2 linked regions of the Elephas maximus indicus genome follow. The protein of the gene in region 2 purifies or fractionates together with the protein of the main gene of each other region. This does not show direct contact. Links are inferred from orthologs where the notes say so. Each region holds a gene or a part of one and is shown on either strand. Other genes may lie near its edges.

What was found.
Region 1: the proteins of ITGA2 (region 2) and ITGB1 purify together in Homo sapiens (co-immunoprecipitation; 3 studies listed by BioGRID and IntAct, with this or other methods). This does not show direct contact. The link is inferred for Elephas maximus indicus from reciprocal best matches to the Homo sapiens genes ITGA2 and ITGB1.

The regions. Positions count from the first base shown.
Region 1 is NC_064822.1:6,448,530-6,463,752, reverse strand, and holds the start of ITGB1 (integrin beta-1), read left to right. Parts: upstream 1-7,862; coding exon 7,863-7,929; intron 7,930-8,833; coding exon 8,834-8,919; intron 8,920-11,180; coding exon 11,181-11,403; intron 11,404-13,658; coding exon 13,659-13,829; intron 13,830-14,743; coding exon 14,744-14,982; intron 14,983-15,223.
Region 2 is NC_064820.1:55,932,412-55,947,758, reverse strand, and holds the start of ITGA2 (integrin alpha-2), read right to left. Parts: upstream 6,141-15,347; 5' UTR 5,987-6,140; coding exon 5,917-5,986; intron 1-5,916. UniProt on the Homo sapiens protein: Integrin alpha-2/beta-1 is a receptor for laminin, collagen, collagen C-propeptides, fibronectin and E-cadherin. It recognizes the proline-hydroxylated sequence G-F-P-G-E-R in collagen.

The sequences.
Region 1 (15,223 bases), on a different chromosome or scaffold from region 2:
AACGTGTATTATCTGGTTGTTGGTCACATACGCGAGTAGTTAGAGTTTTAACGCCTGTGTTTGTACCTAATTTGTAATTTAATTTTGGTTTTTTGATCTTCAAGAGCCATGAGCACAAGGCATTTTATGTCTAGCCTTAAGTTGGCTTTGTATATGCTTAATATAATTTGAAATTATCACTAGATAAGTTATCTACAGTAACTTCTGTCTTAAAGAGCATTTGCACATTAATTCTGAAAACTTCTTTGGAGTTCTGAATAATGTAAGAGAAAACATAATTTAATATAGTTCAGCAAAAACTTTTGAACATCTTCTTTGTGTCAAGAACTTCTAGGTACTGTAGCCAGGTTTGTCCTCTTGGAGCCTAGAACCCATCAGGGAAGATAATAAACATAGTTACAAGTGAGGTGAGTGTTACAGCAGTGCCTCTGTTAAGGATCCAGTACCTGCCTGGGGGTCGTCATTGTTCTATAATCCTGTCGCATCTCACGCGTGGACTCTAAGGTTTTTGCAGACGCCCCCGCCTTAGGGAAAAGATGCTCACCTCCTATTCAGGCTGCACACCCCTTTTACTCTGAATGCCAATTCCCTGTTTGCTCTGAGGAGGCCTGGCTTTATCAGTTACATTCTGTCTTCCCTGTGTCTTTACCTCTTCAAGTCTGTCCTTAGCTCTCTTGCCTTCTCTTACAAAATGTTCTTTTCCTCACAACCTCATCCATTTTCATAAATTCATTACCACCTATGTAATGAAAACCTCCCTGCATGTCTGTAATTCTAACCGTGGCCTGTCCCTTGAGATCCAGACCCATAGGTCTTAACTTCCCAGTAGGTATCTTCCCTAGATTTCACACAGACATTTTATACTCGACATTTCTAAAATGAAACTCATCATTCTCCTCCCTGTGTGTTCCCTATTTGACAGTGATGGTTGGTCTAGGTTCCTTTCTTTCTCTCACCCTCCCTATCCAAAGCGACCATCAGATCCCACATTCCTTGTTGGTTGCTGTTGAGTCAGCTCTGACTCACGGTGACTGTGTACATCAGAACAAAACACTGCCTGGGCCTGTGTCATCGTCACGGTCTTTGGTATGTTTGATTCCATTATGGTGGCTGCTGGGCCTATCTCATTGGAGGTTTCCTTCATTTTTTTTGGCCCTCCACTTCATCACAAATGCCATCCTTTTCCTAGCAATTGGCTTTTCCTGATGACGTGTCCAAAGTAAGCAAGCCAAAATCTTGCCAACCTCGCTTCTAAGGAACATTCTGGTTGTATTTCTTCTAAGACTGATTTGTTTGTTCTTTTGGCATTCCACGGTATGTTCTGTATTCTTGACCAACACTACAACTCAAACAGATTTTTCTTCTCTGTTTTCATTGTCGACACCCACATGCATTTAAGGCGATTGAAAAGCCCACGGCTTGGGTTAGCTGTAGATCAGTCATCACAGTGACGTCTTTGCTTTTTAATACTTTAAAGAAATCTTTTGCAGCAGATTTGCCCAATGCAATATGTCATTTCATTTCTTGACTTTTACCTCCATGGATGTTGACTGTTGATCCAAGTAGCATGAAATCATGACAACTTCAGTTTCTTCTCCGTTGATCATGATGCTCTTTATTGGTCCTCTCATGAGAATTTTTCATTTTCTTCACGTTCAGTACTGAAGGCTGTATGTAGTCTTTGATCCTCATCAGTAAGTGCTTCAAGTCGTCTTCATTTTTGGCAGGCATAGTTTTGTCATCCACATATCGCAGGTTGTTAACGAGTCTTCCTCCAACCCTGATACTGTACCGTTTTTCATATAGTTTGGCTTTGTGGATTCTTTGTCTAGAGCACAGAATAAGTATGATGAAAGGATACATGTCTGCCGCATACCTTTTCTAATTTTGAACCACACAGTATCCCCTTGTTCTGTTTGACTGCTTCTTGATCCATGTACAAATTTTGCATGAGCACAAGTGTTCTGAAATTCCTATTCTTTCAATGTTATCCATAATTTGTTATGATCCACACAGTTGAATGTCATCATGTAGTCAATAAAACACAGTTAAACATCTTTCTCATATTCTCTGCTTTCGGCCAAGATCTGTTCGACATCGGCAGTGATATCTCTCTTTTCATGTCCTCTTCTGAATCTGGCTTGAACTTTTGCCAGTTGCCCGTCAGTGTACAGCTACAGTTGTTTATGAATTATCGTCAGCCAAATTTTCTAGCATGTGCTGTTAATAATATTGTCTAATAATTTCTGCATTTCGTTTGATTGCCTTTCTTTGAATCTCTTCCAGTCCATAGGCCAGGGTAGGTGTCTTTCAGATTTCTTGACATAGACAACTAAGCACCTCCAGTGTTGCATTTGTTTGTTGAAGCATCTCAACTGGTATTCCGTCAATTCCTGGAGCTTTGTTTTTTGCTCATGCCTTCAGTGCAGCTTAAACTTCTTCCTTCAGGACCGGTGGTTCTTGATCATATGCTACCTCCTGAAATGGTTGAATATGTACCATTTCTTTTCGGTACAGTGACTCTGTGTTCCTTCCATCTTCTTTTGGTGCTTCCTGCATCGTTCAGTTTATACCTGTAGACTCCCTCAGTATTGCAACTCGAGCCTTGGATTTTCTCTTCAATTTTTTCAACTTGAAAAATGCCGATTTCGTTCTTGCCTTTTGGTTGTCCAACCAAGCCTTTACATATTTTGTCATAGTATTTTAATTTGTAAATTATTGTAACCCACATTTCTGTCTCTTAAATACTTGTCTTCTTGTCCATTGCCAGTATGTGAATTCCGGTGCTTGTCACCTCTTACTTGAACCTTTGCAGTAAATTCTGTACCTGTTCCCTAGCTTCTGTCTTGCCACCCTTCCTCTACAGCAGTAGGTATTCTGCCCTGTATATGCAGTCATGTGATTACCCTGCCTGAAGTTTTTCAAAGTCTTAACTCTTCAGCATGGATGGCATTTAAGGCTCTCTGTAACCTAACCCCTCTCCCTGCTAATCTCAGTTCTTGTGATTTTCAATTCAAGTACTTTTAAGATTCTTTAGTCTTTTAGTATTCTAAAATACTCTGTTATGCTAGAAAATTATCAGGGTGAAATACTCCTATTTACAATCCCACCAATCAGATATAACTACAAATAATATTAAAAAAATTTTTTTTCTACTCTTTTTCTTCTGCAAAGAAAGAAGGCAAGAGAGAGAATTCCGATTTGGGGTGGCAGCACCCAGACATACCTGTTTAGGAATAAGATTAGAAAGAAGTTCCTATAGTTCTTCTCCGGATTCCTTGGCTTTGCATATGCACACCTTTTGCCTGGAGTAGCTTCTCACCACCTGGCTTCCTGCCAGGCGTGTCCTACTTCTCTTCGCTTCTAGTTGAAACACCACCATTTCCATCAAGCCTTTGAAGACTCCCAGGCAGGTTTAGGTGTCCTCAGTGCACTTTGTCCATACCTTCATCTCGGAAGCTGTCACATCCTATTGTAATTACTTGTATGTTTGTCTTTGAACTGAACTGAAAGTTCTTGAAGCAGGGATCTTTGTTTTTCCAGATCTGGCACAAAACCTGACAAAGTAGACTGAGGAAGAACTTCCAGAGAGATGGGGGGCCGGGGAGGGAGGGACGGGTAGAACCTAAGGGAATAGAGTATGTGAAGAAAGAATGATGAATAGTATTAAATGTCTTGTGTAAATCCTGTGGGTGGATGTATTCCAAGTATATTGTAGGCAGTCAAGAAACTTTTGAAGAAGGGAGTAAATGCAGAGCTTGAGATAAAGCCTGGAAAGTGTTCATTTGCAAGAACAGGTTCACATGCATGGTAGAGATTGGACACCAATTATAGATGGTGAAGGAGTGAGTAGGAGGTTAGGAAGTGGAGACAACCAATGTAGGCAACTATTTCCAGACCTTTGGTTATAAAGAGGAGAGGAAAGACAGGACTAGGACAATAGCAGGAAAGGCGTCTCTCCCTCTTGCCCCTCAAGATGAGCTGTTGTTGAGAAGCGCCATTTGTGGGAACTCCTTAGGGCATAGTTTCTCAGCGTAGGAACTGCCAGGAGTGCTAGAAGTGCAGGACTCCAGGCCGCACCTGCAGGGATTGTGATTTTTTAGGTCTGAGGTGGGCTTCCTTCCCGGGTAAATCTGATGCAGTTATTCCTTAGACCACACTTCCAGAAGTGCCTCCTTAGGCGCTTTCGAAATAAGGAGGCTGTTACCGCCTGCTTCTTCTTCCACTTCCTCACGCAGGTGCAGGAGGAATATTCAGTATCTTCGCAGATTACCAGGATCCGTTAGGGGAGGCTGTTTTGTCGTCTTAGTCATTTCTTTTTTACCATCCGGCTGTCTGCTGCTTGCTTCCCTCATGGCCACTTCTGTGGTGTCCTCCAAGCCTCATTGTCCCATGGTTCTTCTTTGTTCCTAATTACCGTCTTCTGTGGCTTCTCCATTTCCCTGAGAGAAAGTCCGGCCTTTTATAGACAACACCAGCCAGTGACAATGCCTCTCTGTTTCTGGCCAGTGAGCTGACCAAAGTAGAGAGTTGAACTCTTAAGCTGTTCCCAGCTGTTTTCCATGTTACTCTCAGCTGTTCTTCACCGCGAAGGCCTTTTCTTGCTGCTTCTGGGTTTGGAGCTCTTCCAGAGGCATGAGCATTTCACAGAGCCCATCTTCAACTTGCCAAAGCTTATAGAAGGAAAAGGGCAATGGCATTTAAAGCAACGTTTTAAAGCTAGATAGCTTCAGAGTATTTGAAAACTTTATTTTAGTGGTAATTCTCTAAATTGTATGACATTGTGAAGGGTTTTTTAAGGCAGGTTAGTTTCATTAAAGTAGCCTGAATAGTATCCTAAAGAAGCATGCATCAGCCCATACATGGAGCAGATGTTTGTTCTGTTCACTTTGTGTGGAAGCTGTTCAGATGCTGCATTCATCACGGTGATGCCTTTCCTCAGCGTTCCATGTCTTTTTAGTCCTTTCAGTCAGAGCTTTGGAATTGAAAACATCTGAATTGCCTAGAATTATAGTCCACATGGATTTATTGCATCTTAAACCTTTTAGGCAGGCCTTAAAAGGTTAATAGCTAGGTATTTCTCACTTTTGTGACACTCAGCTTTTGTTGGTCTCTTGGATGGAGTCACCACTGAAATGTAAGCAAAATTGTCAGCTTGTGGCTTAACAGGACTGGCTGATCTGCTCAGGATTGCAAAGTGGATGACTATGCGAGTCATTCTTGTGCCCTGGAAACCAGCATTTAACAGAGGAAAGCAAGTACCCCAGGGGTGCCCTGAAGCACAACTTAAAGGACTGTGGCTGTGGAACTAGCATCCTGGTATTTGTGCCCCTGAGATGGAGGCCTTTAAAAGAAATACTCATTTTTTAAATTAAGGTAGAATTCAGTTAACTTCTTCTTGCTAAGGGAAGTTTACCAAGAAAAAAAGAGTACCACACAGGCCATAATTATTTACATTGAGAAAGCAAAGAGAAGAAAAAAAGAAAATTAAAAACAAGAAAAACACTTTGCGTATACATTTTATGTATATAGGAAACTCTGGTGGCACAGTGGTTAAGAGTTTGACTGCTAACCAGAAGGTCCACAGTTTGAATCAACCATCCGCTCCTTGGAAACTATATGGGGCAGCTCTACTCTGTCCTATAGGGTTGCTGTGAGTTGGTATTGACTGGATGGCAGTGGGTTTGGTTTTTTTTTTATAATTCTTTGTCATTCTCAGGTCTCCGTGGTTGCAGTATATGTTTGTATACTTTTGTTTTTACATAGCTGTCATCATAATGTGTACTTTACATCCAGAATTATTATTTTAATGATGCTGCGTTTTATTACTTTTATGATTGCCTAATAGTTCATCAGGCTGATACACTTAGCTGTTCCCCTGTTACTGGGTATAGGATGTTTCCATTTCTTCCTGTTGTAAATATACCATATAGTACTACATTGAACATTCGTGTGTCTGTGGGTGTATGTGTATATCTCCTTTTGTATTTTTATAAATCGTATTTTATTGTGTTTTTGTGAAGGTTTACACAGCAGTTTGGGTTCCCATCCAACAATTTCTACACATGTTGTTCAGTGACATTGGTTACATTCTTCACAGTGCGTGAACATTCTCATTATATTTCCATTCTGGTGGTTCTGTTTCCATTAGTCTAGTTTCCCTGCCCTTTTACACTCTCATCTTTGTTTTAAAGTAGTTGTTGACCGTTTGGTCTCATACAGGTGAGTTTTTTAAAGGAGCATATTACTTACGGGTGATATTCACTATTTTTTGAGCCAATCTGTTACTTAGCTACAAGGTGACCTCAGAGGTTAGTTTCGGTTCAGGGTTTGAAGAGTATCTCTGGGCAGTAGTCTCAAGGAGTCCTCCAGTCTCGACCAGTCTAAAAAGCCTGTTTTTTGTTTTTTAATTATCTTTTGTATTTTAAATTATTTCCTCAGTAGCTGGATTGCTAAGTCATGGGGTAGAAACATTTTTTATAGTTTTTGATATAGGTTGTTGAATTATTTCCCCCCAAATTATATGTTTACAAAGCTGCCAGCCATGCATATTGATTTTTCTCAGCCTTCTCTGCAGTGATGGTTTTAATGGGTAAAAAAAACATTTTTTCCAGCAGTTTATCTTTTATTGCTTTGTTTTATATTTCTTTGGTAACTAGTAAAGCTAAAATTTTACCCTTTGCTATCCCACACATACACATACACATATACCTATATATATATATATGTGCTTCTTTCTTGTATTTTTTTCTTGTGGGAGGGACAGATATTTATGACAAATTCTCAGGCTGGCTGCTAGTCCCAGTGCAGTAGTCAGATGATAGCCACAGTTTCAGCAACCAGGGGCTAGAGCCGTCTCTGACCAAATCTCCTAAAGCATAGCTTATTGACATTGTGAACTCTTGAATTCACAGAAAAGAGTTGTGTACGTAATGGTTGGGCATTCTGCTTGATAGAATATTCTGATTATTACTATTATAGATTACACCATTTTCAAATATTCAGAATCAAATATAAATCACTAAATCAAAACTATATAGACTTATTAATTTTTCTTTAGAGATTCTGAAAGGGACTCGATACATTCAGGGTCCTTTTATGAACTTTTCGTGGGTCTAGTTTGTGGATCTAGAAAATGTAGGGACTTGAACCGAATCTTTGACTAATTAATTCCATGCACAGAAGTTGATTTTTCTTAAAGAAAGCCATCAAATTCAAAAATTGAGTCAGGGCCTTGTGTAGGATGTTGGTCTTAACGCTGCTGAACGCTATACGTTGTACCATATATATGACCCATATATACACACACACACACATATATGTGTACCTATGTATGTGTGTGTATATGTGTGTATATATGTATAGTGTAGTGCACACTATAAACACTGATAAACCCCGTTGTTACAAGCAGGAGGATGACATGATGGAGTTTTTGAAAAGTTCACTCAAGCTGGCACTCAGCCTTGGAGCGACTGAGGAGTCTGGATATGCCTGTCTGGCTCCCTGGGAGCTGCAGGAGATAATAGAGATTATCTGGGACGAGACCTTGGATGGCGTTTATGGTGTTAGGGAATACTTGACACTATTATTCTTTCGGAGTGTGGCTAATAAAATGTTAAAACATATTTGACTGGAGAGAGGCAGGAACGGAGCCCAGAGACTTATGGAAGTTATTTTAGTTGTGTAGGTAACAGGTAGGGTAGTGGGCTGGGCGGGGGAGGTGGGTGATGAGGTTGTGGAGGGGTGCTGGAGAAGAAGGTATTGAGAGAGATTATATTTATAAAATCAACAGGCAGGGTGGCTGGGAACATTTTGTATTTAATGTATCTTGTTTTATTAATGATGTGCATTTTGTATTTCAGATGAATTTACAACTGATTTTCTGGATTGGACTGATTAGCTCAATTTGCTATGTGTTTAGCCAAACAGGTAAAAAAAAAAAAAAATGTTTCATAGCTGTGTTTTCAGTATCCTGTCTCATTCTTTGACCAAGTATATTCCAGGGAAAACCTAGGTCAGATCATGCTGCTCCTTCTGAAAGCCCTACACTGGCCCCATCGCACTCAGAGTAAAACGCAGAGTCCTTAAAATGGCATACAAGGTCCTGCACGGCCTGGCTCCGCCAGCAACTGCTGCCACCCGGTCTCTCACCTTATTTCTCATTCTCTCCTGGGCTTTTCTTATTTTCTCCTGGGCTTTCCTTGCTTTCGCTCAGAGGCACCAGGCATCCTTTTGCTTAGAGCCTTGGCCTTGGGTGTCTCTTCAGCCTGAAGCGGTGATCTCTCAGATATCTGTATGATTCTGTCCCTCCTTCAGCTCATGACTCAAATGTTAGCTTCTCAATCAGGCCTTCCCTGGCGATCGTATTTATAGTCGATTGCCCCTCCCCATACTTCCCTTTCCCTGCTTTGTTTTTTCTCCTTACCATTTATCTCTTTCTAACATGCAGTGTGTCTTATTTATCTTGTTTATTTGTCTGTCTCCCCTGCTAGACTGTAAGCTCCACGAGGGTAGAGACTTCTGTTAGTTTTCTTTACTGCTGTATCCTCAGTGCTTGGAATAATGTCTGGCACATAAAAAGGCTTCAAATAAATATGTGTTGAGTGAAAGAAGGATTCTACCAGTGTCCCCAGACAGTGATCATCACCCCTTTAAAGTTGCTCTGACCCACCCATTCTGGGGAGTAGGTCTGGATCAGCTTGGTAACTAGGCTTGTAGGCTTCATACTCGATAATCATATATGGTGCATTGTTTGTCCTTGCGATCCTGATTTTTCATTATTTTCTCTCTTGAAGCTTCAAGTAAAGGTGTCTGTTATTTCTTTTCCTGACAGATGAAAATAGATGTTTAAAAGCAAATGCAAAATCATGTGGAGAATGTATACAAGCAGGGCCAAATTGTGGATGGTGTACAAATTTAGTAAGTAAGATTGTTTGAGTCTTTACTATGTTTTCTCTAGTAATTTAGTACGTCCTTGGGACGTAGCAGATAGGAATTTTCATTTAAAACAATCTTTAATGAATAAGTGTTATCTGTGTGTAAAGTATAAGGCTCTGGTGGTACAGTGATTAAGCCCTTAGCTGCTGAGAAGTTGGTGGTTCAAACCTACCAGCTACTCTGCAGGAGAAAGATGTGGTAGGCGGCTTCCGTAAAGATGACAGCTTTGGAAGCCCTGTGGGCAGTTCTTCTGTGTCCTATAGGGTCACCATGAGTCGGGGTCAACTCGACAGCAATGGGTTTTTTTAACGTGTGAAAGACTGTGGTGGTCTAGAGCTGTGTGTTGAGCCTGGCAGCCACCAGTCACATGTGTCTAGTGAGCACTTGAAGTGTGGATGGTCTACACTAAGAATGTTGTAAGGCTCAAATACATACCAGATTTCGAAGACTTAGTATAAAAATGCTCACTAAATTTTGTTAAGGTGATTACGTGTTGAAATGATAATACTTTAGATCCATTATTAAAGTGAATTTCCCTTGTTTCTTTTTAGTGTGACTACTAGAAAATTTTACATTAACTTCTGTGGCTTGTCCATTTGGTTGGCATTATATTTTTATTGGACTGCTTCCCGTAAAACACTAGGCCTTTAGGTTTAGACTGCTATAGATTTTTCTCCTTTTTTGAGGGGGGAAGGTACAAATGAACTTGCACAATTATATTTGATGTAAACTAACACAGAATTGATTGTATCCTAATATAAACTCAGTGACGGTAGGGTTTGAATTTTATTCACTGTTATTCTCTAAATAACTAAGCCTTTGATGCTTTGAGGCATAATTTTTAAATTATTGAATGCTATTTTGGAGTATGTTTAGTGGAATTTTATTTAGGTGTTGATTATAATCTTAAAGTTTCCTGTATTGGCACATATTTGGGAATGTGTAATTTACTAGTTTCCTTTGGTGTAGTATCTTAGGTTTGATGATAGCGTGGGTTTGAACCATCTGGCCCTTGGTTTTCCTTTCCATTTATTTCTCTAATTTCATATGTGCTCTTATCAGTGTTTGTTTCCCTTAAAAAAAAAATTTTTTTTTAATTTAAATATACTTACTTTATACAGCACTGTGAAACTGGTAGGTAATAAACACCATGTTTGACTGAACACAATGTGATCCCAAATAAATGGCAATCCTCCATTTCCCCCAAGTCAACATTAGAAAAAGTTTTTGGCCTACTAAATAAATAATTTTTAGGGATATATGTGACATAGTTGTCAAATGTCTACTTATAATAATTTATTGATAATACTTTTATGATTTATATTTACATATTTTAAAATGACATACATGTATACACACATAAATACTAATGTCATTTTTTTCCCACTCTCGAATTTCATGATAACGTTTTATTTAAAACCTTTACGTATGTCTTTTACATCTGTGCTTTTGTTTTCATGAAGGTACTTTTTGAGTCATCTGATAACGTTTTTGCTTTTATCTCAGTTTGAAGTAGAGCACGTTTTGAATTCCTGTCATTACTGAAATTCTGCCTCCAAGCCATAAGTATCCATTCACTTGTATACCATTAAGACTTTTTTTTTTTTAAAATCACCCTGTGGAAATATGTTCACGACCCTTGCCTTATAATTATTTGGCTCTATTGCTTTTCAAAATAAATCTTAAAATGCTTGTTTATGGTAATAGGCAATGCTATTCCAGGAGAATACTTACTGAAATAAAATCTGTATTACATTTTTTGGTTTCCTTTTAAAAATACCATCATTAGTAATGTGCTTTCAGGCTAAAGTGTTTTCCGTACACATTGGCTTGTTCATAATATTGTAAATAAAGAGTGCAATATGAGAGACTTTATAAGGATTTTTCAAAGGGACATTTTGGGAAAAATATTAATATTTGGGCATATAATTAGTGGCCATTGACTATGTTGAATAAGTGATTTCACTGGAGAATTTCATTTGATAGATATTTTTAATTAGAAGGTAGACAGTTAAAATGTACACTTAGGTCAGTCCTGGAATGCTGTTACTTTCTAGGAAAGAATCTTGTTTGTTTTTAAACAAGAGTACTCATTATGGTTTGGATGTCGGGGTATTTGTTTAATAACAAGAAATGAGGTACATTAGATGCACCCGGTGTTGTTCTGTTTTGAAATTATGGTTATGTAAATCTTTGACCATTACACTTTTTTAATTTATACCTGTATTTTTTATGTCATTTAGACATTTTTACAAGAGGGAATGCCTACCTCTGCCCGATGTGATGATTTAGAAGCCTTAAAAAAGAAGGGTTGCCATCCAGATGACATAGAAAATCCCAGAGGCTCCAAAAATATAAAGAAAAATAAAAATGTAACAAATCGTAGCAAAGGAACAGCAGAGAAGCTCCAGCCAGAAGATATTACTCAGATCCAGCCACAGCAGTTGGTTTTGCAGCTACGATCAGGTACAGAAGTCTAGCCCTATGAATACTTTCATTTCTCCTTGAGTTTTTTCATCCGAACTTTATGTTAGCCTCTTCTCATTTTCATACGTGTGCTGGCACCCTAAAACATCGAGCAGGTTACATTTTAGACATTTTTTGCAGATATAACAATGTGTGTTGTGTCTGTTTGGAATAATATTAAATATTGCCTAATGTCCAGAGGGCATCCTGGTGGTACAGTGCTTAAGAGCTTGGCTGCTAACCAAAAGGTTGACCGTTCAAATCCACTAGCTGTTTCTTGGAAACTCTATGGGGCAGTTCTTCTGTATCCTGTAGGGTTGCTATGAGCTGTAATCGGCTCCATGGCGATGGTGTTTTTTTTTTTTTTTGGTGATGTCCAGAGGGAACCCTGGTGGTGCTGTAGGTCACTGTGAGTTGGAATTGACTTGCCAGCAGCAAATTTGGTTTTTAGTTGTCCAAAATCAATTCTGTCACAGGTTCAGAAAGTAATTAATTAGATTTAATGACTTTTAAAAATAACTTGAAAGTGTCCATCCTCTGGTATTTTATATTCACTTAATATAAAATGAAGACAATGTTTTAATAAAGTCTTCTACTTTATATTTGTTTAGTATTGTTAAAATATTAAGGTTTTTATAAGTATCTGTGGCAGTCTCTCATCTTTATAAAAAGAGAAAAAAAAAAAATTCTTTCTGTCCTTTGTAGTTGCCACCGTCTCCCTTTCTCTTTGTGTTCCAGCTCCTCAGGAGAATGGTGTGCTCTCTTTGTCTTCATGTCATCACTTCCCATCCATTCTTCAGCCTGTTGTAGTCATGCTTCGCTCTGTCTTAGGGTTCTCTAGAGAAATAGAACCAGTGACACATATAGATGTATGGTAGATAGATATATCTATATTTATATGTATACCTATATATATATAAAGGAATTAGCTCATGTGATTATGGTGGTAGGAGGGCTGGCAGCCCAAACCTATAGTCAGGCGGCAGCAGGCTGGAGGTTACTCCAGTCTTCTTTTCCAAAATCCATCGGTCAGGGGATGGGAAGAGTAAAGAGTGGAAGAGCTCTGGCACTATGTCTCTTTATAGCCTGGAGGCAGAATACACCCTGGGGAGATGTCCTGTTTCGCTCCTGAGACCTTCATCTGATTGGATGAAGTCCACCACCATTATAAGGGCCATCGACTTTACTTGTGGCCAGCTGATTTAATCCCATGACGAGTGTTTGACCAAACAACTGAGCAGCATAACCTGGCCAAGCTGACACGCAAAATTAACCATCACATTCTTCTAAACCTGTCCTGGCAAAGCTCTGCCATCACTTTGGGACCACCAATCTAGTAGACCCTTATTAAGGTCTTTTTCTCCTAACCTTGGTGTACCAAGTGACTCTCTGAACTTTTTGAATGCTTTTCTCTTGGCTTCCATGATACCACTTTCAGTTTTTCTTCTTATCTCACCTTTGCTTTCCGGCCTCCTTTGTGTGTCTTTTTTTATTCCCTCATTTCTGTAGTCCATTTTAATGTTGGTTTTTCTACATGGCTTTAAAAACAGTTTTTGTATTGATGACTCACAGATCTTTATCAGTAGCACAGACTTTGCTCCTAAGCACCAAACCTATTTATCAGCTGCCTACCAGAAATCTGTAAAGAGAAAAACGACAGGTTGAAATTTAGTCATTTTCTACCCAAAACTTCTCTTTCTCTTGTTATTTCCTGAGTTATCCCTAACATCTCCGTGTCTTTTCTCTCCTCTCCTTCCTCATTGTTTCAGTTCACATCTACATCTTCCTCTGGAATTTTTGCTGTAGTTTCGTAGCTGTTTCTGTATCTGTAATACGTTTCCAGAACTTTTTGCCCAGTTTTCTAAAGTAAAAAAATGTCATGTTAATTTGCTTACATAAAGTGACTTCACATTACAGGTGTACCTGATATGTACCCGGCTTTGCCCCCACTCTCCCCCCCTCTGATTTATGGGGTTCAGTCTGTTTGTGTTCCTCTCTCGTGTTCACATTGTTTATTGTCCTGCCTGCTGTGGACTGGGGATGCTGTCTTTTTCACCTTGTATCCCCAGAGTCTAGCATGACAAGTACTTGTTAAATGAAGTTGAATGGGCCTATTAGAGTTATGAATGGAGTTCCCAGTTTTTTGTTAAAAATATGGCATTCAATACATGTGTTTGTGTTTACCATGTAAATCTAGTCATTTGGTTTTTCTCATTTGTTTTTGATTGTTGACAAGGTATCTCTGTTTAAATTAGGTGAGCCACAGACGTTTACATTAAAATTCAAGCGAGCTGAAGACTACCCCATTGATCTCTACTACCTCATGGACCTCTCCTACTCCATGAAGGATGATTTGGAGAACGTGAAAAGTCTGGGGACAGATCTGATGAATGAAATGAAGAGGATTACTTCAGACTTCAGAATTGGTAGGAATGTTGGGAAAATTAATAATTTGCATATGTTTAAGGCTTGGTAGTTCTCAAAACCTTTTGATGTTTTTTCCCCTTGGTTCTTCACAACATACTTGTGAGGTAACTAGGCCAGTGTTTAGCCTTTTCTTTCTGTGAGGAAGTTGATATTTCCGTCACACAGCTTGAATCATTCTGCCTCCTGGTCGTTTGTTCCATCTGTCATACTGTCGTACTTGAGACAGGTTATACCATAGAGATAATGAAATGCATGCTTGTTTTCCTGGGAATTTATTTATGTGTTTGTTGGTTTATTTTATAAACGCATGTTAAGCAACAGCGTTCTATTTCACTGCTCATTGACAGGATCACACTACCTGTACAACCTGATCTCACTCTAGAGCTCGATCTTTCATTTTATATGCTCTTCTTTTCAAACCTTATTTTCCACATTTTATGCATCTTTAACTTAACCTCTTTTCTGACTTCTTTTCCATTCCTGGGCCAACAGAGGTTCAAAAACAGACTACTAGAAAAATTTGACATACTTTTTGAGGACCAAAAACTGCATTTCAAAAATTCGTTCTATTTCAGTGGGAACATTAACAAACAGAATCTCACTTGTTTAAAATGCTTTTTTATTCAGTGGAATAAAGCACAATGGAAGTAGGAAGCTCTTACTAAGTTAGTCCTTTTGAAGTGCTCAGAATCCCAGAATATACATTCATTCACTCATTCGTTTAACAGGCAGTTATTGAGAGCTAGTATGGTAGGAAAGGAATGTGAGTTATTTTTAAAGTGGATAGATGAAAGTAAAAGATTGACTTACGTGTGTAACATACTTGATTTTTTTAAACTGCAAGTTTATATTTATGTGTGTCTGTATAAAGTTGTATATGTCTATATAAATACACGCATTTTTCTCCTCACAGGGTTTGGCTCGTTTGTGGAGAAGACTGTAATGCCTTACATTAGTACAACACCAGCTAAACTCAGGAACCCTTGCACAAGTGAACAGAACTGCACCAGCCCCTTTAGCTATAAAAATGTGCTTAGTCTTACTGATAAAGGGGAAGTATTCAATGAACTTGTTGGTAAACAGCGGATATCTGGAAATTTGGATTCTCCAGAGGGTGGCTTTGATGCAATCATGCAAGTTGCAGTTTGTGGAGTAAGTACATTCATTTTCTACAAGGAGGTATTGTGTGTGTGAATCTTAGTGTAATTTTACTATTATTAGAAAAAAAGAGAATATAGACTTATTGTTGGCTAATTTCTCAGAAGTAGATCTTTAAGATTTTCTTCCTAGTCCATCTTAGATTGGAAGCTCCGCGGAAATCTATCAGCAGGACAGCAGCACCGACAGACGGCTAGTGGCTGGGCATGAGGTGCATTGGCATGGAAGGTGAGAA
Region 2 (15,347 bases):
TATCTTCCCCATTCTTCCCGAAATTCTTTGTTTTTAACACACTGAGTGTGTCTTTAATTTGCTGAATGTCTTAAATGCCATCATTAGAAGTTCATCCCCTTAACATTACCAAGCTTCTCCCCTTTAAAATGCCCAGAGCTGTTAGCACATTAAAGTGGGAGCAGTCATCACCCACTTCAGACTTAATTCATTTAAAATAACCCATTCACGGACTCTTGGTGTTGAAATCTACCTGTCTTGGTCGTCATCTCACAACAAGGTAGTACTGGAAACTCTGGAATTTTCATTTGTGAGGAAAGGGGGCGGGGACAGTGAGCATATTTAAGCAAGTACTTCCAAACCTTGCTGTATTCAAAACTTCCTGAGCAACTGTTTTTAAATGCTAAATCCTGAGCCCTATTCAATGAATTTAACTCAAATAGCGTCTTGTTAACTAGTATTAAAGAGAGCAAAGCTTAGCTGAAGTTGGACAGGTGCAGCTGGAAAGCCATGGGGGGAGGGGGTTACCTTGTCATAATTTCACCTGAGCCCATTGAGGGCTGAGGGTGAGAAGCCAGAAGTGGTTTATGAAGAGTTCCAGAAATGAGAGGTTACCTCAAGCTTCCCCTTTTGTTACAAAAGGAAAACTTCCCTACTTTATAATTTTGCCTGGGCTTGTTTCCTCTAACAATGGACAATGGTTGGTTGGAAACGGATGGATTAGTCTTCTAAACGTGCTACCTGGGTTCAGGCGAAAACCTGAACATGTATGTTTTGTATGCGATATAATAAACTTGAAGTCCTGACTCTGCTCTTCTTATTGCTTTCTTTCTGTCTTTTTCTCCTCTTCCCCAACGCTCACCACCCAACACACACATATTCCCCAGCATAACTGGCATCTTGTCTCTATACAAAGCTGGGCTGATCAGTGAAACCTAAAGATCCTCTTAGGCAAGACCATTGGAAGGTCATGATTCTAATATTCATTACTGTTTACTGAAATGCAGAGAAGGGAAAAAACAAAACATCAAGGCAGTGAAGATAAAGGGAATGGCCTGGAAAATCTTTGAACATTAAATATGATATGATCAAGCATAGTCAAAACATAGATTGGTTTTATGTATGGCTTTGGGATGTGGTATGTACATATGTATGTTTGTGTGGTATGTGCATGTGTGCATGTGAAGTGGGTGTGACAGAGAAGGGCCTGAATAGGCAGACTGTGGCCAGATGGCAAAGGAGTTTTTGTAACATGCCAAGAAATTTGGAGTTTACAGGAGATGGGAGCCATCAAACATTTGAAACAAGGAAGTAATTGGATACAGATAAGTGCTTTAGAAAGATAACATCAGTGACAGTGAGAAGAATGAGCTAGAGAGGTATGCAACTGAAAACAGAAAAACCAGTTTAAAAATGGTGATGATGCAGACACAAAAAACTGCGGGACTGAGCTGTGTGGTAGCAGAAATGCATAGGTTGGGGAACAGAAGGCATAGAATTTGGAGATTGGCTGTGAAACTGAAAAGAAGAGACACAGTCCCAGCTTGACATTTACATGATGATACTGCCATTAAACAATAGAAGACCATTTAGGAGACACTTTCAGTGGACAGGTGTTAAATTCAGTGTTTAAATTGTTGAGTTGGAGGTGCTTATAAGACATCTAGGTGGAGATATTTGGTAGCAGATGGAAATACTGATCTGGGACCCAAGAGAGGAGTTTGGATGGAGGTACAAACTTGAGAGGGGGACAGGCCCAGAGAGAATCAGTGGAATGAATAAGACGACCCAACATGGGTTTCTACAAACACCAACTAGGAAAAGGCCAATCAGATGAGCCTGTGAAGGAGACAGAACAGTCAGGAAAGTAGGACAACTGAGAAAGAACAGAAGCAAGGGGTGGGGGTGTTTCAGAAGGAAAGAGTTTCCAAATTAAAAAGGCCTTTTTAAAAATACATATATACAAGAGAAATTAAAATATTTACATGATGAGAGAAACTTACACTAGAGAGAGAATTTGAAGCTATACACCAAAGAGGAGATAGCTGATAGAGTACCAAAGATAGGGAAAAAAAAAAAAATGAGATCCAGAACCCAGGTAGGATTATCCTTGGCCTGCCAAAAACACTGGAGAATATAAGTAACTTCATGTATTTTAAAATTACATTTACCTTTGCTCTATGCAGCTATTATTTTGTTTACAGTTCATTTAGGCCTCTTACAGAGCCCTGGCGGCCTAGTAGTTAAGAGCTCGGCTGCTAATCAAAAGGTTGGCAATTCAAATTCACCAGCAGCTCCTTGGAAACCCTATGGGGCAGTTCTACTCTGTCCTACAGGGTCGCTAGAGGTAGGAATCGACTCGATGGCACCTAATGACAACAACAGGCCTCTTATGGTCTCTCTTTTCCAACTTCAACCTGCCCGGTTACCATTTCAGTGATTGTCAGCATTTAAAACAAGAATAATCAATGAAAGATGATAAATGATGAACTAAATTATGAGCGCCGCATTTTCACAAACACCTGCAAGAAAGCTGATGGAAAACAGATTTGAATCTAAGTGCTAAAATAAAATTTGAGGGTTATGTGCTTCTAAGGTGGTTTGCATGCAGGCTGAAGAGAATGCAACATGTATAAACACATGCACATACACCCTTTAAATTTTAGTTTTTGGTATGGGTTTATATTATGCAATTATACATGTAAATTATACATAGTTTATGCAGGAAACTCTGGTGGTGTAGGGGTTAAGTGCTATGGCTGCTAACCAAGAGGTCAGCAGTTCAAATCCACCAGGTGCTCCTTGGAAACTCTATGCGGCAGTTCTACTCTGCCCTATAGGGTCGCTATGAGTCGGAATCGACTCAACGGCAGTGGGTTTGGTTTGGGTTTATAGTTTCTGTGTTTGTGTACAGGGATGATGAATGCTCATAAATATTATACAGATAGGATTATACCAGAGTCCTGGTGGCACCTGGGTTAAGAGCTCAGCTGCTAACCAAAAGATCAGCAGTTTGAATCCACCAACTGCTCCTTGGGAGCTCTATGGGGCAGTTCTACTCTGTTCTATACAGTCCGCTATGAATCGCAATCAACTCAATGGCAACGGGTTTGGTTTGGTTTTAGGGTTATACCATAAAAAATTTCAGTTTTAGGGTTATACCATAAAAGATATCAATTATTTATGTTACCCTTGAATGATCATGTCATAAAAAAAAATGATGCTGCTGCCCTAAGACCTTGATTGATGTCATAAGTCACAAACCTTTATTGTGGTCATCTTAAAATGAAGAGAAAGTCTGTTCTTTGAGTATACAAATACCTGGAGGAGAAGGAGGAAATAAAGACACAAAATATTTGTACAGACATCATTTTAAATCAGCTCTGCTTGCGTGCCTTGAGCTGTCCTTCATAACTCACTCTAGCTTCAAGTCTCTCTACCTGACTTCATGCCTTGCAGCAACACTTTCCACTCAAGCATTTCTCAGTGCTCTTTAAGGAACAAGCCTCAACACTTCAAAGATAAGAAAATGATGTTATGTTTCCATGGCTTCTCCTAATACTGGGTAATTAAAGGGAGATGAAAAGCTTGGATTTATATTTCTATTTGCCCTTGGGAAGGTTGTGATCTTCCAGGGACTGGTTTTCAACGTAAAATCCAACTTTATCCAAAATCCCTAGGTTGGCGTTAATGCCCTCCCCTATCCCCCCCTCAGAAAAAAAAAAAAAAAAAAAACTCCTATATGTACTTCTTCTAGTGTTTAGGAGAAGACCAGAGTCGGTTCCATCAGAGAGATTCTCTCCATCTTCTCCTGAAAGCCATCTCAACACACTGCCCTTCAATAAAACTGAGTAACATAGAAATTGACATTTGGGTACGTAAAATGTCAAATTTAACCTTCAGGCCTATATAATCTCAGTGTGATTTTCTATAGATCATAACCCAGGGAACAGTGAGAACCTGTCATCTTATTTTTTTCTGGTTGCCTGGTTTTCATCCCTTGCCATCCTGCCTTTGACTCAGTTCTTCCATTGCTTCTCATCTGCACACGACTCATTAAAGAAATCTGGCTAAATAACCAGGTAATCGTGCATGAACAGAGAGAAAAAAAGAGAGAATAATGAAGATGCTAAATTCAAGAATAACAAAACCAAACTTTAATACGAACATTGTCCAAGAATAACCAAAGGATTCATGCAGGTATATTTGCATATAAACTCCCAACCACACGCATATGGAATGTAGTCCCAGGAAAGTGTATCTGTGAAACACCAAACGTGGTGGGCCAGAAAACCTAATGAACAGGTTCCATTCTCTGCTAGGGCTGTGTGTCATATTTCTTCATATTTCTGACCTAGAGAAAATGTCACAGGACCTGAACTGGGTTTTCTTCCACAATAAAGATAGTGCCTGCTGAATGTCAGCCTCAAAGGAGAACGGATTAGGAAATATTTATATTCTTGGTAAATATTTACAGAACTTGCAAAAACAGAAAACTTTTTTTTTTTTTTTTTTTAGGTATATGTTCAAACTGTTGCTGTTGTTATCTGGTGCTGTGGAGGAGGTTGCTACTCACAGGGACTGGTATGTACAACAGAAGACACACTGCCCTGACCTGGCCATCCTCACAATAGTTGCTATATTTGAACTCATTGTTGCAGCCATTGTGTCAATCCTTCTCACTGAGGGTCTTCCTCTCTTTCCCTGACCCTCTACTTTTCCAGGCATGATGTCCTTCTCCAGAGACTGGTTCCTCCTAATAACATGTCTAAAGTACCTGAGAGAAGCCTCACCATCCTCCCTTCTAAGGAGCGTTCTGGTTGTACTTCTTCCAAACTGCAAGATACAAATGTGGCCCTGCCCCCGCCCCTCCGCCCCCGGCAAGTAAACTAAAATTCTAAAACTTAAGTACAAACTAAAAAAAAGAGAAAACCTTTGCCATCAGTCCACTGAGACTCATAGCAACCCTATGGGACAAAGTAGAACTGCCTCACAGAGTTTTTAAGGAGCGGCTGGTGGATTCTAACAGCCAACATTTAGCAGTGGCGCTCTTAACCACTAAGCCACCGGCGCTCCAAGTGCACATTAGGCTCCAGGTGAATGTCTTGGAGAAAGTACTGTGGAAGGTCTGCACAGCAGCTCAACACTCAGTCTCATTTTTCCACTTAGTGCAAAAGAACTCAGGCGGCAGGTGGGCCCCACTCCCACCACAGGCAGTTGAAACTTCTGCTCTGGGTAGTTGGCCCTTCCCCCTCTTGCTGCAGCGTCTGTGCTCAAGAAAGTGGAAAGAACTTTTCCTTTCCCAAGTTTACATTCCTTGAACAGACAACGTTACAACAATAAGAGGAAGGCAGAAGGGAAGGAAGAATTCTCCTCTGCCAAGTGGTTAAGTGGCGCTTGGATTTTCTAAGTCCCCTGTGGGAGCAAACAGCAGCACTGCGTCCTGAAGTAAAAACTGGGAGATTATTCATTCCTTTGGGAAAGACCTCGGAAAATAAGCGTGTTGAGCTCCCAGTCTTCCTGGCAAGCCACCTGGCATAGCTCTGGGAAACTATGGAATGAAGGGGCCGACCAGACTGGAACCCCGGGGACCCACAACCTCCAGTCCTGGTCAAGCGCTGCACCTGTCCAAAGCCCGGGAAAGTTGGGGTGCAGGACTCGCGGTCTCCAGGACACCCCATGACCCCCACTTCCTCCAGGTGTGTGCGTGTGCGCGCATGTGTGTAAAACTAAAGAGCTCTTTGAGGAGACTTTGGATCCAGTGCAAGCAAGAATGGGCGTCTCTCCAGCTGGCTCGGGACGGGTGTGAGCCTGGTTCCACGTGGATCAGAACGGAGGCTACTCTGCTTGATTCCCTGCGCCCCATAATCCCTTCTTCACATCCCCCCTCTCCTCCACACTCCTTGCAGCGGATGCCCAGCGAGCCTTCGCGCTTACCTTGACTGAACATTAGTACCAGCCGCAGCCGCAGCCGCAGCAGCTCGCTCTCCGCGCGTCCTGGTCGCATGCCGCTCGGCCCTGGGGACTGTAGGTGAGCTGGGCTTGCAGAGGGTCGCCTTAGTCGAGGGATACAAGAACCCCGAGACCCTCCAGAAGCCGTGCGGAGGACTTTCCCGGCCAGGGTGAGAGCAGGAAAAAGTTGCAGGCAGCTCCTGGGGCTCGAAGGCCCGCCCCGGCCCGCCCCGGCCAGCCCTCCCGCCTGGGCAAACACCGGATCTGCCCCGCCCCGCCCCGAGGATCCCCCACCCTCCGGACCAGCGGGCTGCACCTTGTCCCTCCAAACCCCCGGCAGCCGTATCTTAACTGCCTGACTTTGTACAGCCCTGGGATCCAGGAAGCAGGTGGGTGGGGATGGAGACCGCGCGCGGGGCAGCCTTTCCTGGACAGAACTGGCCAGGCACATGTGATGGCGAGAACCAGCCCTGTTACTATCCCGCCCCCTGACAGAGTGATGCACCTCGCTGGAGGCTCTTCGGGTCTCTCAGGAGAGTCCTGGCCCCGCAGCAACCCATCGCTGTTCCAGGCTCCTGGCTGGCACCGGAGGGGCTGGGGATCCGCAAGTACCCAAGGCAGTTCTTAGTTGCTGCTCAGTGCATGGCTTTCTCTGTGCTTCCAAAGTGGGTGGAGAAACAGACAAAAATAAGCACAGAATGACCAGGTTAGAAACTAACTCATCAGGAAAGAAGATCTGTACCCAAGTTATGATTATCGGAGGTGGTGTTTAAGCTAGACCTTCTGCAAGTGCGCAGTGTGTTTGTATGTGTGTGGCTTATAAATCCTCATTCATTCCTCTCCCTGAGATAAATAAGGAGCTGATTTGATAATTGAGTTTAAGCGATTTTCTTAAAAATATGAACTCGTGGTTCTTCCTCTTTGCTTATAAGACAGTGTAATCAAAGAGAACGTTCTATAGCCACATCTCAGATTTTTTACTTACAAACCTAAGAAATGGGATATGCACTTTTCTTCTCTAAATATGATTATTCTTCTGAAAGTTCACCCACAAATTCCCAGCAAATTGGGGAAACCAGAATTCTTCCAGGGACCACTTTTGTGAAGTATTCAAAAGTTTTAATAAATTAGAGTTGTTAGTTTAATCATTACTATTGTCAATGCAGGTTTTATGGAGCACCCACTATTAGGAGAAGAGGATGCCTGGGAAACTTCCAAAGGAAGCTGAATAGTTCAGAAAGGAAAAGCTTAAAAAATGAGTTAATTGGTAAAAATAGAACAGTCCTCTTAATCGTAACTAGGGCTGGCATCTTGTATTTTTTAAATATTAAATTAGTATTTATCAGACACTACTGCTTATAGGCATGAATGTAAGCTCCACTCCTTTGAACCCCAAAATGTGCAGCCCCAGGTTCTTTCCTGTTTTCTTATCTGTCACTTAGTAATTACTTACTAATCCTGACAAACACCTGAAGGCATTTTTTCCTGAGTTGTCTGTGATATTCACCTGCTTACTAAGACTCCGATATCACCTGAGAGCTTTTAGGTGACCGCCCACAAACCCTGACACACAACCTTGACTCTCTCCACAGACTTCTTGCAGGAAGTCAGCCAGGTTTCAGGGAGATGAATATCTGTCTGTTTCCTTCTGACTCACTGAAATGTGAGTAAGTGTTTGGAACAGTCTCTTGCTTGGGAGGCAGGATAGTTCCCTTAATGTGAGGCAGGAATTTGTGCTTTGTCTCTGGGCGCTGGAGAGGAAAATTCACCCGGCTTTGCTTCTGTGCTCAGAATGGGACAAATTAATGTTATGCTGGCATGGGGTGCAGAATAAATCAGGAGCTATATTTTCCAGAACAGGCAAACATTCCAAGAAATAAAGCACAAACTCCTCTTTCACATTAATTTTTAAGAGTGCTAAGGTTCCTAAGACCAAAGAGTTTGAGAACCCCTGCTGTAGTTTTCTTAAGAAATACCCTGCCTATGTGTAATTGTGCTAGACAGCACATTCTGAAGAGGCAATAAGGAAAGCTAAAGCAAGGCTTCTCGAACTCTTTATTCTCAGGATCCCTTTATATGCTTAAAATTTTTGAGGAACCCAAACAATTTTGTTCATGTATCTATCAATGTTTACTATTCAAGACATTAAAATAGAGAATTTTTTCAAATATCTCTGTATTAATTCATTCTTAAATAACAATAATAAACCCACTACATGTTAGCCTAAAAAGGTCTTGGAGACACCCAGGGACCATACTCTGAGAGCCACCAAGGGACAGAGTGCAGCCTGTGTTCTTTCTACTCTTCCTTCTCTTACCTCTAGGCAGGAGTTTTGTTGGGGGAGGAGGATCATGTGAGTTTTTCTCCAAGGCTCCCTTCTGAGCTCTCTTATCCTCATGCCCTGCTCTTTTTTGGTCATCTCATTTTCATGTACGTTGTTGTTGTTAGCTGCTCTCCACCAGACATCTTTGCTTCTCTCCCTTGTGGCCACCATCATGCCACTCTGCCACCACATCACATCAATTCTATTTTCCTCTACCAGAGCTATCTGCACCATCTCCTATTTTCCATTCTCTTGCTACTCTTTTTAGTTCAGGATCTTTTGATCTTTTGCCATTATGACAGTCCCCTGGATAAAATCTCCATGCTCCTTCCTCTCCCTTCTCCAATCTACCCTTTACACTGGCATCACAGCTATCCTTCTCAAATGCAGAACTGAGCTGTAGAAAATCTTTTGATGTCTACAGGATAAATACCAAGCACCTTAGCTTTTCAAGCTCTCAGTTGGACCCCAACCCACCTTTGCAGTCTCATCTCTCACCATCCCTCCCTCTTGCACACTATTCGTGATGGTTAAGGTTGTGTAGCAGCTTGGCTAGGCCATGATTCTCAGTGGATTGGCAGTTATGAGGTAGCTCAGCAGCTTTGTAATGATGTAATTACCTCTATAATGAGATCTGATATAATGTAATCACCTCTGTGATGAGATCTACTATAAGCAGCCAATCAATTGAAAGGAAGTTTCCCTGGGATTGTAGCCTGCATCCAATATATGTGGACTTTCTGGCAAAGCTCTCTGGCTTTTGCTCACTCGGGATCCTGCATCTGACCTTTAGTTCTTCGGACTTGAGCTAGCAGCTTACCTGTCAATCTTGGGTTCACCAGCCCCTGCAGCTGTGTCAGTCAGAAGTCTCCAGCTTGACCCAGGACTTGGGATTTCCCAGTCTCCACAACAGCATGAGCTATTTCCTTGATATAAACCCTCTCTCTCTTCTTGTCGTTAGGAGCTGTCGAGTCAGTTCCGACTCATAGCAACCCTATGTACAACAGAACTAAACACTGCCTGGTCCTGTGCCATCCTCACAAGTGTTGTAACACTTGAGCCGATTGTTGTAGCCACTGTGTCAATCCATCTCCTTGAGGGCCTTCCTTTTATCACTGACGCTGTACTTTACCAAGCATGAGATCTTTCTCCAAGGACTGATCCCTCCTGATATCATGAGCATTCTGGTTGTACTTCTTCCAAGACAGATTTGTTCGTTCTTTTGGCAGTCCATGGATATTCAATATTCTTCACCAACACCACAATTCAAAGATATCAACTCTTCTTTGTTCTTCCTTATTCAGTGTCCAGCTTTCGCATGCATATGAGGTGATTGAAAACACCATGGCTTGGGTCAAGAGCACCTTAGTCTTCAAGGTGACATTTTTACCTTTCAACACTTTAAAGAGGTCTTTTGCAGCAGATTTGCCCAATCCAATGCATTGTTTGATTTCTTGACTGCTGCTTCCTTGGCATTGATTGTGGATCCAAGTAAAATGAAACCCTTGACAACTTCAATCTTTTCTCTGTTTATCATGATGTTACTTATTGGTCCAGTTGTGAGAATTTTTGTTTTCCTTATGTTGAGGTGTAGTTCATACTGAAGACTGTGGTCTTTGATCTTCATCAGTAAGTGCTTCAAGTTATCTTCACTTTCAGCAAGCAAGGTTGTATCATCTGCATATTGCAGGTTGTTAATGAGTCTTTCTCCAACCCTGACGTCCCATTCTTTTTCATATAGTCCAGCTTCTCAGACTATTGTGCAGCATAAAGATTGAATAGATATGGTGAAAGGATACAACCATGACACACATCTTTCCTGACTTTAAACCATGCAGTATAACCTTGTTCTGTAGGAACAACTGGCTCTTGATCTATGTACAGGTTCCTCGTGAGCACAATTAAGCGTTCCCATTCTTCTTAATGTTATCCATGATTTGTTATGATCCACACAGTCAAATGCCTTTCCATAGTCAATAAAACAAAGGTAAACATCTTTCTGGTATTCTCTGCTTTCAGCCAGGATCCATCTGACACCAGCAAAGATATCCCTGGTTCCAGGTCCTCTTCTGAATCTGGCTTGAATTTTTGGCAGTTCTCTCTCAATACACTGCTGCAGCCATTTTTGAATGATCTTCAGCATTGTTTTACTTGCCTGTGATATTAATGATATTGTTTGATAATTTCTGCATTTGATTGGATCACCTTTCTTGGGAATAGGCATTAAGATGGATCTCTTCCAGTCAGTTGGCCAGACTGCTGTCTTCCAAATTTCTTGGCATAGATGAATGAGCACCTCCAGAGCTACATCTGTTTGTTGAAGCATCTCAGTTTGTATTCCGACAAAGAAGAAGAATTGGTAGTTGGAAAATGCAGCCTTGGTGATAGAAAGGATGCCAGAGATTGCATGATAGAACTGTGCGAGACCAACGACTTCATTGCAAATACCTTTTTTCCCCAACATAAATGGTGACTTTTTTTTTTTTATATATGTGGACCTTGCCAGATGGAATGCACAGGAATCAAATCAACTATATCTGTAGTCGACAAGAGACAGTGGAAAAGCGCTCTCTTTCTCTCTCTCTCTATATATACTTCACTGCTTTTGTTTCTTTAGAGAACCCAGCCTAAGACACTATGTTTATGCTAAACTCACCTATTCACTGATGTACCTCTCTCATTCTTCCTCGTTCGTGCCCTAGCTATTTTTTTCTGGCTAGAATTGCTTTCCCCCATTTTTCCATTTCTTAAAATTCCACTTGAAGACTCTAGTCAAACTTACATCATCTGCCCAGCCTTTCCTGCCCCCCTCATTCATAACCAATTATTCCTCTTTCCTGACTTCCTAATTTTTTAAATAATATTCTTGTTGTGTGTATTACGGTGTGACTTGAGTTTAATTATATGTGCATCCTTTACCTTTCCGCTTAAATGCCAGACCCCTTAAATCCTATCTGTGTCTTTTTAATATTTATATCACAGTAGTTCTATGCCTGGCAAATAATAAGCGCCAAATAGTTACCAAATTGAACAGAATTTCCTAAAGTGTCCATATTCTTTTCTCTAGGCCTAAAAAGGGCAGTGAATGTAAAATTCTATGTAAGTCCTGGAAAAATTGAAATGTTACCCCATGAGTCCGTGACAAGTCAGAGGGAGGCTCAGAGCCCATTGTGCTTGATTGACCTACAGGTCTCCAGGCACTGGCTGAATTGCTTGATGTACAAAAATAAAAGTGACACTTCCAAGTGAGAAAGAAAAATACAAAAAAAAAAATACACAAATATAAAATAATTCTATATTCCTAGCTCCCTATATGGAGCTGGTTTTTTTTTTCTCATCAACACACCTGCGGCATTTTATTCAAACTATCCTAGCACTACCAGGGTTGACTGTCCCTTATTTGTTTTCGTGTATGTGGCAAACATGCAAAGCAATCTGCCTGCTCTGCCCGTGGGTCTTTTTCAGAGTCTGCCATGATTTCTCTCTAGACATCTTTGAGTCAAGTAATCTTGCCTCCTAGTAGCATGGTTAGACACCTGACTCAAGCTGGACCAACCAATTTTCTTTCCTAGGAATTTGTATTCAAGGTATAGAGATTCCAGAGTCTTTGTTGGTGACACAGACTAGGAATTCATATTGACTGAGGCAACCATTTTCTCCCATGAGCATAAAAAAAAGTCAATCTACAGCTATTCATAGAAAAGGGAGATGAGAGATCAAAGAAATGTTGGTGGAAAGAGAGGGAAAAAGAGAGAGGATGATTGGGATAGCTTTAGTTCTTCAATTCTTTCTATTTTTTGTTTCCAGTCACTTGTGAGACCTGGCTGCCCTTTCTACATTTAGTTCCACGAAATTCCCCTGTATCCTCCTAATAGTTTCTAGTTTTCTCTAAAACTAATTAGAGTGGGTTTATTTTTTTAATATTCCCTGTACTAGTGTACCTTTAAGGTATATATGTTTCTCTTATAGAATATCCTTAATGACAGTGAACATGTCTCATTAACTTGTTTTACTCACAATACCTAAAGCAGGGTGCGACACAAAGTAGATGCTCCACTAATTAGAGGTTTCACTAATTAGTAAGCACATTTGCCAAGAGAAAAGAAGTTTATCTCTTAAAACATAGAAAAGCTCAATGAAAGGGAAATATCATTCATATGTACTACAGATTTTTTTTTTTATTTATTTAAAGAAATGTGTCATATGATGAACCAAGTCAGCTATGTGACTATCTTCTTTGCTCTCTCTGGAAAATCTAGATGTACCAGATGTTGCTGTTATTGTTGTCAGGTGCCGTTGAGTAGGCTCTAACTCTTTGTGGCCCTATGTACAACAGAATGAAATACTGTCAGGTCCTGCACCATCCTCACAATCGTTGTTATACTTGAGCTCATTGTTGAAGCCACTGTGTCAATCCATCTCATTGAGGGTCTCCCTCTTTTTTGCTGACCCTCTACTTTACCTAGCATAATGTCCTTCTCCAGGGACTGGTACCTCCTGATAACACGTCCAAGGTAAGTGAGACAAATTCTCACCATCTTTGCTTCTAAGGAATATTCCAGCTATACTTCTTCTAAGAGAGATTTGTTCTTTCTTCTGGCAGTTCATGATATATTCAGTATTCTTTGCCAATACCACAATTCAAAGGCATCAATTCTTCATCCAGCTGCGTTATTCATTGTCCAGTCTTGCATGTATATGAGGCTATTGAAAATACTTTGGCTTGGGGCAGGTGCACCTTTGTCCTCAGATTGACATCTTTGCTTTTCAACACTTTAAAGAGGTCTTTTGCAGCAGATTTGCCTAATGCAACACATCATTTGACTTCTTGACTGCTGCTTCCATGGGTATTGATTGTGGATCCAAGTAAAATGAAATCCTTGACAACTTCGATATTTTCTCCATTTATCATGATGTTGCTTATTGGTGCAGTTGTGAGGATTTTTGTTTCTTTATGTTGAGGTGTAATCCATACTGAAGCCTGTGGTCTTTGATCTTCATTAGTAAGTGCTTCAAGTCCTCTTCACTTTCAACAAGTAAGGTTGTGTCATCTGTATAACACAGGTTGTTAAACGAGTCTTCCTCCAGTTCTGATGCCTGTCCTTCTTCATACAGTCCAGCTTCTTGGATCATTTGCTCAGCAAACAGGTTGAATGTGTATGGTGAAAAGATACAACCCTGATGAACACCTTTCCTGACTACACAGTATCCCCTTTTTCTGTCTGAACGACTGCCTCTTTGTCCATGTACAGTTTCCTTATGGGCACAATTAAGTGTTCTGGAATTCCTATTTTTCCCAGTGTTGTACATGATCCTTTTATCAGGAGGGATCAATCCATGGAGAAACACATCATGCTTGGTAAATTAGAGGGCCAGTGAAAAAGAGGAAGCCCCTTAATGAGATGGATTGACACAGTGGCTGCAGCAATGGGCTCAAGCATAGCAACAATTGTGAAGATGGCACAGGACTGGGCAGTGTTTTCGTTCTGTTGTACCTAGGGTCCCTGTGAGTCCGAACCAACTTGACAGCACCTAACAACAACAACAACAACATCCGTAATTTGGTATGATTCACACAGCTGAATGGTAAACATCTTTCTGGTATTCTCTGCTTTCAGCCAAGATACATCTGACATTAGTAATGATATCCCTCGTTCCACGTTCTCTTCTGAATCTGGCTTGAGTTTCTGGCAGTTCTCTGTCCATGGGTACCTCTGCAACAACTTTTGAATGATCTTAGGCAAAATTTTACTTGTGTGTGATAATAGTGATATTGTTTGATAATTTCCATATTCTGTTGGATCACTTTTTTTGGAATAGGCACAAATATGAATCTCTTCCAGCCAGTCGGCCAGGCAGTTGTCTTCCAAATTTCTTGGCAGAGAGAGGTGAGCACTTCCAGCACTGCATCTATTTGTTAAAACATCTCAGTTGGTATTCTATCAATTCCTGGAGCCTTGTTTCTCACCAGTGTCTACAGTACAGCTTGGCCTTCTTCCTTCAGTACCATCTGTTCTTGATGAAATGCTACCTCCGGAAAGGGTTGAATGTCGACCAATTCTTTTTGGTACAGTGGCTCTGTATGTTCCTTCCAAATTCTTTTGATGCTTTCTTCATTGTTTAATATTTTCGCCATAGAATCCTTCAATGTTGCAGCTTGAGGCTTGACTTTTTTGTTTAGTTCTTTCAGCTTGAGAAATGCCAAGTGTGTTCTTCCTTTTTGGTTTTTTAACTCCAGTTCTTTTCACATTTCGTTATAATACTCTACTTTGTCTCTTCAAAATTTCTTCCTTTTGCTTTAGCTACTCTATATTCAAGAGCAAGTTTCAGAGCCTCCTCTGACATCAGTTTTAGTCTTCTTTCTTTCCTGTCTTTAATGACCTCTTGCTTTCTTCATGTATAATGTCCTTGATGTCATTCTACAACTCATCTGGTCTTCAGTCATTAGTGTTCAATGCCTCAAGTTTATTCTTGCAATGGTCTCTAAATTCAGGGGGGATATACTCAAGATCATATTTTGGCTCTTGTGGACTTATTCTAATTTTCTTCAGCTTCAACTTGAACTTGTATGAGCCATTGATGATCTATTCCATAGTCGGCCCCTGGCCTTGTTCTTACTGATGATATTGAGCTTTTCTGTCATCTTTCCACAGAGGTAGTCATTTTGATTCCTGTATTTTCCATCTGGTGAGGTCCACCTATATAGTCAACAATTTATGTTGGTGAAAAAGGTATTTGCAATGAAGAAGTTGTTGGTCTTGCAAAATTCTATCATGTGATCTCCACATCATTTCTATCACCAAGACCATATTTTCCCGCTACTGTCCATTCTTCTTTGTTTCCAACTTTCTCATTCCATTCTCTAGTAATTATCAATGCATCTTGATTGCATGTTTGATCAATTTCAGACTGTAGAAATTGGTAAAAATCTTCAATTTCTTTGTCTTTGGCCTTAGTGCTTGGTGGGTAAATTCGAATAATATTTGTATTTACTGGTCTTGTAGACATATGGATATTATCCTATCACTGGTAGTGTTCTACTTCAGGATAGATCTTGAAATGTTCTTTTTGATGATAAATGTGATGCCATTCC